Macaca mulatta: one gene and its partner. The protein of the gene in region 1 interacts with the protein of each later gene in a biochemical or structural test. Links are inferred from orthologs where the notes say so. Each region holds a gene or a part of one and is shown in the gene's direction. Other genes may lie near its edges.

Region 1 (3,650 bases):
CATAATCGTTCTCACATCTGCAGTTTTGGTACATTAGAAATTAGATTAATGAAGCCAATAATTGAATTCCTACAAGTAACAAGTGTCAGTTTGCCATAGGTCTCATCACTATTCTTTTTTGTGAAAGAGAATAAATAAAATATTACAATGGGTCTGTCTTTGCCACCTTATAAATTTGCTGCTTTTAATTTTGTTGCATTGTCCTAAACACAGAATTATCTACTGTTTGATAATTGGCTACTCTCAGTAGTTATTACTTTTGTTAAAATTATTTCTTTCAGTACTTTAGAGGCAGTTTTAAGACTTCAAACAGGCTTTTTCCTTCTATGAGCAAAAATCTGATTGCATAAGAATGAGCACTGGCAGCTCAAATCTACTTTCTGGGTGAGAGTACATTAGTAACATATTTTCATGAACACCATTCTCTTCTCCCTCCCCTGAAAGAGCTTTATCTAGTGAGTTAAAGAGTTTTTAATCATATGGCCTTGTGTTTAACTTTAAAAAACACCGAAACTACTGAATTTCAAAGCGGGACTCTGGGCAGTTGTCTCAAATTATTGTTTTATTAAGTTTGTTTTTTAAAAAGGTAAAATACAATGTATTTATATAACAACTTTCAATAAGAATCCATGTATTTCTGTTTGTTTTTAATTAGTTACTAAGAACCTTCAAAATACTCTCATTTAAAGGCCCACCCTTACCTTTTGAATTATGGCCTTTCACAAATATTTTTTAGGTGAATCACATGTAACGAATGGTTATAATTATGTTATTCATAACTCCCTTACTTTGGTAATGTAAATATTTACTCTACAGTACACTGGACCATATCTATCATTGTAATTTATCTTCGTTTTCTATATTTCTTACAATTTTTGAGAAACTAGAATTAAACATATATAGTAAGAATTATTATACAGTAAAATCCTATAGCATATATGTGGAAACTTAAGGAAGTAATGAGTCTTGGTGTTATTACCAGAATGCTGATATAACATGATATATTTAATGAAATATGAAAGAATAAAATAGAATTTTAGGTATATTTTGCTAGCATTTTTCTTTTTTTACCTTTTTTTTTGTTTGTAATGTTATATTTTCTAATGGCCATAAAGAAACATGATCAAATCTAAATTTCTCTAGTAAAGTTGATTCCCAATTTGATAGTAGCATGAATATATAATTTTGTTTTGGACTTTTTGGGTTTCTCTACATTATTTTATAAATAATTACTACACGAAGATTTGGCAGATAAATTGTGTAGCAGGGTCCTTAGCATTTTCTTTTCATGACAGCCTCTTCCGTTCATCTCCATTCTTGGTCATTAAGTGAACATCAGAACTTAAGTTTTACTAGCTTCAAGCCTTTTTCAAAAAAATACTGCTTACAGCTGCAGACAATGATCTTTTCCCGCGGCAGTCTTGTATGTACACTGATCTTTAACAACTTGTACTCATAACCAGATTTGTTTGGACAAGTCACACCACTGTGTGTGTCCTGTTTTTGTTTTGTTTTAAATTTTATGATGTCGGCCTAATTGTTGGAAAATCCTCCTTCGTACCTGCAAAGAGAAACCTGTTCTCAAGGTAAATGATTTGAACTTATGACAAAATGGTTGCATTTTTTTCAAACTGGTAATATTTAATGAAATTATTTTAAACATGATGGCATTTTTTTCAAACTGATAATATTTGGGGGAAATAACTGTCGTTACAAATAAATACAGTAATCAAATGCTGATGCAAATCTTTTGTAATTTCAGCCTGATAGCGCATATCAAGGTGGAGTCTTCTTTCTCACTGTACATTTCCCGACAGATTATCCTTTTAAACCACCAAAGGTATTTTTATTTTTATGATTGATGTGACTCCCATGTAAGGGATTTTACTCTTTTATCTAGAGCTCATTTTGTATGTCAAAGACTGTGGGGGAGATTAGCATTTTCTGTTTTATAAAAACTACTGAATCTAAAATCTGATTTCTTATTGAAATACTTTATTAAGTCTATAAAACAAAAGTCAGTATCTGTCATGCTATAAATTTAATTCCTTGCTTTTCTTTCTCTTCTTATTGGATACGTGTAGTTTGGGAAATTTTTATGATTAAGAGTCAGACTTTTCATGGGATTATCTTTCCAAAGTTGATCCTTCTTTCTCGTTTTTTTTTTTTTTTTTTTTTTTTAAGTATTCAATAAACATTCACTGAGTACCTACCATGTTCTTCTACACCAAGGAATCCAAAAGTAAATATGAAACAGTCCCTTAATTTAGTATGGTAGGAGAGAGAAACACATGTTAAATTTAGATTTGCTCTAAAGAGGAAGCAAATGATAGGGATTTCAGGGAGGGGAAAAATGAGCAGATTCTGTCACTCAGGAAATAATTATTTTAAATAGTTAAAAGCAGATTAACATTGTATTTATGAAATGATATGACAACGCTTGTGGAAAATTAGGGTTCTTGATGGATTTCTTAGCTGAGACCCCTCAACTTTGCCCTGAAACAGCGCCAGCACCCTGTTTTTACATCCAAGTGTTACTTCTAGGTATCACCAATAATCAAATCAAGAAAAGGATTACTTCTGTGTATGATGAAAGCCATGGTTAATTACTTTAGATGCTACTCAACCAGTCATACCAGCTACTAGAGACTTATTTATTACACTGTCCAAAATACTTTTCAGTTCCTTGGAGGGAGAAAGAAGGAAGCTGACTTATTTGTGTTCACATTCTCACTAGCTAGAACTATGTGTAGCACAAAGTAGATAATTATTTGATTTGTGCCGAAGACTTTTCTCCTCTAGCGTTATGTAAACTTGAACATATTTTACCCTAGAGCAAATTGGTTCTGTTTTATTCATAGTTGATTCAAAGGTGATTGTCATATTTTGTTGTTTTGTTTTATGTTTAGATCGCTTTCACAACAAAAATTTACCATCCAAACATAAACAGTAATGGAAGTATTTGTCTCGATATTCTGAGGTCACAATGGTCACCAGCTCTGACTGTATCAAAAGGTAATTTCATCGATCAGATTTAAAACAATTGATAACAGTAAGACAGGAAAAATACAACAGAATTACCTATGGACTAAAGTTTTAAAACAACAATCAACTGTGCTTTCTCCTGTTTTGATTTTGTTTTGCTCTCTCCGCTCTTATGTTACTCTGGCTTTTGGCAGTTAGCTTTGGTTGAGGGGAGTGTAGACATTTTATCCTTTTAGCTTGGGTGTTATCTTTTAAAAAAGAGACAGTGCCCAGGCACTGTGGCTCATGCCTGTTACTCTAACACTTTGGAAGGCTGAAGTAGGAGGATTGCTTGAGCCCAAGAGTTCAGGACTGACCTGGGCAACATAGGAGACCCTGTCTCTGCAAAAAAAGAGAGAGAATAAGAGATAGTAAAAGGAAGATTTTGGGACTAGTTGTCCCATTCATTAAATGGAAATGTTGACAGTAATAAAGCTTTACAGCTGTTTTACTTCATCCAAGAAAAAAATAACAGATTTGATTGATAAATGATTTAAAATGGAAGACATTTCACACTAGGATAATGCAATACATATAGCATGTTAGTCTAAACTTTGCATAATCAGGAGTGTCATTATAGTGACTGACACAAGATCTGTGCTGATTCTCAACTTTTACAGGTGTAT
Region 2 (4,165 bases), on another chromosome or scaffold:
AAAGGTCTAATCATCTATGGAGGGATAAGAAAGTTGTAGCTTTAAATATTCGTTCAACATTTTATTCCTGTATGTGATTCGCTCTTCTATGTATAGAGGACATATCAGTGAACAAAAACAGTCCCATGTCTATGAATGGATTACTTTTCAGGAGGAAGAAGTAGACATTTAAAGAACAATCTTATATATTACATAGTAAAAATAAGAAAATAAATGTGCAGTGAGTGATATTACTGGTGGTTTTGCTATAAGTAAGTTATAGTATGTCCTTCTAAGAAGAGGACATCTAAGAGATTGAATTAAATTTAAGAATGACTCTTGCTAACATCAGGGGAAGGATCATTTTATGGAGAGAGAGGAGCAAGTGCAAAAGCCTTGAGGAGTCATAGATTTGATAGTTTAATTGAGGAGGTGTTTTTTACATGTGGAAAAAGCAGAGGAGATAAACCTTAACAGTATAAATAAAATAATTCAGATACCAAAGACCATATATTATGATTCTATTTTTATCAATTGATTAAAAACCCAAAGGATATTAGTGATTGTCTGGAGCTTGGGATCAGAATAGGAGTAACGGCATTAGGGTTTTTTTTTTTTTTTTTCAGGTGGTAAAAATAATTTTAAATTGTGTTACAGTAACAGTCATATAGTTCCACAAATTTAGTAGAAATTATCACATTATACACTTAAAAATGAGAGTGTATGATGCTATGTAAATACAACTCAGTAGCTTAAAAATACACAAGTATTAGTGAATCATGCAAATATTAGAGATACAATCACGTCATCCAGAGAGAAAAGCATGTGCGAAAGCCCAGGGGCAGCGGTGTGCTTAGTGCATTTAACATGGAAAATGTGTTTTGGGTTGGGGAACAAAAGGCAGGATAAATGATGGGTTACACGAACCTCTTGGTAGAAAAGCTTCAGTTTGTCCTCTCCAGTAGAAGAGAAAATAACAATAATTGCCTTGATGGGGTGAAATTTGTCCTGAGACAAAAATTAAGAATAAACTGTTTCAAATTACTACAAAGTCCATTTTATTCTGTCATTGGTTTATTCTTCTTGCCTTTCTTTTCTCCTTTCTCTGTTAAATATTAATTTTTGGTCCTGTTCTAAATCTCTGTAAAAGCAGTATTCTTTCTATTCCCGCTTTTCTTACCATGTCCCCTTCAACATTTCCAGCACTGCAGGATTTTCTGACCAAGAGGTTCAAGAGTCAAGACAGAAAGAAGCCAAGGGAGCAGTGCAATGGATTTCTCAGTAAAGGTAGACATAGAGAAGGAGGTGACCTGCCCCATCTGCCTGGAGCTCCTAACAGAACCTCTGAGCCTGGATTGTGGCCACAGCTTCTGCCAAGCCTGCATCACTGCAAAGATCAAGGAGTCAGTGACCATCTCAAGAGGAGAAAGCAGCTGTCCTGTGTGTCAGAGCAGATTCCAGCCTGGGAAGCTCCGACCTAATCGGCATCTGGCCAACATAGTTGAGAGAGTCAAGGAGGTCAAGATGAGCCCACAGGAGGGGCAGAAGAGAGACATCTGTGAGCACCATGGAAAAAAACTCCAGATCTTCTGTAAGGAAGATGGAAAAGTCATTTGCTGGGTTTGTGAACTGTCTCAGGAACACCAAGGTCACCAAACATTCCGCATAAACGAGGTGGTCAAGGAATGTCAGGTAGGCTCCAAGGTAGAGGAAGAGAAAGCAGAGAGCAGAAATGGTACCTGATGTGAAATCTCCACGTTTTTTGTCCTGCTTTATTCCCCTTTTCACCATAGAACTGAGAGCCCTGTGATCTCTTTCCAAACTCTTTACTTAGTTTCTGAAGCCTGAAGGACAGTGCTGCACATTGCTTTTATTTAAAAGAGTACATTTTTTAGCAAGGAAAAGTTGAATGAATGGAGAATTGCTTTGTAAGATAAGCTTTAATTGCCACTCCGAGAAGAAAGGTGTTTTTGAGAACATGTCTTGTTAGATGTGGCAAAAGTGGCAATGAAAGGAAGTCTTTCCTTAATGCAGGGTCTGCTTTTTCTCTAGGAAAAGAATCAGGCTACTCTTGATAAGGGGATGGTAACTTCCATCATCCAGTAATAAAGAATACGTTCATCTCCTCAGATTTTCCCCCATGCCATAGGTTCTAATCACCAGCCTCACTGTTTCTGTAAACTAGTCCCTTCTGAGAGCCATCCAATTTCTTCCTTGCTATCCTCTATCCAGGTGCTGAGAAAACTCATAACTTTACTCTGGTATAATTTCTTTCTCACAGGAAAAGCTGCAGGCAGCCCTGCAGAAGCTGACAAAGGAGGATCAAGAAGCTGAGAAGCTGGAAGATGACGTCAGACAAGAGAGAACCGTCTGGAAGGCAGGAGGAGACACCTCCTAAGGGATAATTAGACAGGAATCTGGGCAGGACCTTGGGCTCTATCACAAGGAGACCACTTCCCCTTTGCTGTGCTAGAATTAACAGTTATAGAAGTCATATGATTAGGTCTCATTTAATTCCTTCCCTGTTGGAGTTTGGGGGCTGGAGAGCAGACATATCATAAATCAACACAATATTTGGAAGTGAAGGCATGGAGGGAAATACCTGTGAAAATGCTTCCTGTGAATCCTGTGTTCCATTTGTGTCATCAAGTTTGAGGCTCCAATCCTTCCAGTAAACAACCTGAGGAAAGACCCAGGATTCCCTGTTTAGGTGGTTTGGGTAGGGGAATTTTTTTTTTTTTTTTTTTAGACAAGAGTCTCGATTTGTCATCTAGGCTGGAGTGCAGTGGAGTGATCTCGGCTCACTGCAACCTCTGCCTTCCCAGGTCAAGCGATTCTCCTGCCTCAGCCTCCCAAGTAGCTGGGACTACAGGCACGTGCCACCATACCCGGCTAATTTTTTGTATTTTCAGTAGAGATGGGGTTTCACCATGCTAGCCAGGATGGTCTTGATCTCCTGACCTCATGATCCGCCCACCTCTGCATCCCAAAGTGCTGGGATTACAGGCGTGAACCACTGTGCCCGACCAGGTAAAGGGATTTAAGAGAGAGAAAGGCAAGGTTGTTCAGGACAGGTGTCTATAATCCAAGCCTCACCCAAGCATCACATTTTGTCTCAGATTAGGCCTCAATAAAAGACTTGAGTGTATTGCTTTGGAAGGAGTTCCGGTTAAAAAATAGAAAAGCATGGCTTCACCAGAAATTGTGTATTGGCTTTTGCCTCGTATTCCTTTTGAGAACTCCCTGAGGAAAACAGTTCTTATCCTGGCTCCCAGGCTCATACAAAGCAGGCCTTCAACCAGCCAGACTGACTGCCTCTTTCTCTTCTCTTCTCATTCAAGAATTATATCCAGCTCGAGAGACAGAAGATTCTGAAAGGGTTCAATGAAATGAGAGTCATCTTGGACAGTGAGGAGCAGAGAGAGCTGCAAAAGCTGGAGGAAGGTGAGGTGAATGTGCTGGATAACCTGGCAGCAGCTAGAGACCAGCTGGTCCAGCAGAGGCAGGATGCCAGCAAGCTCATCTCAGATCTCCAGCGGAGGTTGAGGGGGTCATCAATAGAGATGCTGCAGGTAAGACTTGGGATGGAGCACCTACATATGAGATTAGGGGAAAAACACAGAGGCTGATTTTCCTTCCCTTCCCAGTCTCTAGGCTTTCTTCTGTGTGGTGACATTAAATGGTTCCTTTGGCCTGGCAGTGCCCCTTTTATGCCCATCATTTCAGGAGTCACAGAGATAATTAAGTGTATGAGTGGCAAAGGAAATTCCCTTTATTATTTACTTATGAGAGGCAGTGTAAAAATTTGAGCTTGGAGAGAAGATTCTTTGTACCATGAGCAAATTCGTTTTAGAACTTCCCCATCACATCAAAAACATTTCTCATGCCTGTTTACAGTCAATATCTGCTTCTACCTCCACCTCCTGGCAACCAATCTGTTTTCTGTCTGTATAGAATTGGCTTCTCTGGACATTTCAATATGAACTGAATTATACAACATGTAGTCTTTTGCATCTGGCATCTTTAATTTAGCATAATATTTTGAGGTTTATTTATATTGCAGTATGTATCAGCATTTTGCTCTTTCTTATTGCTAATACTATTCCATTATCTGAATAAATCATGTTATGTTTGTGTATTCACCAGTTGGTGGCTATATGAATATTTTCCAGTTAGGGACTATTAT

Evidence for each region. The genes of interacting proteins can lie anywhere in the genome.
Region 2: the proteins of UBE2D1 (region 1) and TRIM22 form a complex in vitro, tested with the Homo sapiens proteins (2 studies listed by BioGRID). The link is inferred for Macaca mulatta from reciprocal best matches to the Homo sapiens genes UBE2D1 and TRIM22.

What each region holds. Positions count from the first base shown.
Region 1 is NC_133414.1:91,499,440-91,503,089, reverse strand, and holds part of UBE2D1 (ubiquitin-conjugating enzyme E2 D1), read left to right. Parts: intron 1-1,762; coding exon 1,763-1,840; intron 1,841-2,909; coding exon 2,910-3,015; intron 3,016-3,650.
Region 2 is NC_133419.1:69,875,068-69,879,232, reverse strand, and holds the start of TRIM22 (E3 ubiquitin-protein ligase TRIM22), read left to right. Parts: upstream 1-1,248; coding exon 1,249-1,671; intron 1,672-2,260; coding exon 2,261-2,356; intron 2,357-3,320; coding exon 3,321-3,551; intron 3,552-4,165. UniProt on the Homo sapiens protein: Interferon-induced E3 ubiquitin ligase that plays important roles in innate and adaptive immunity.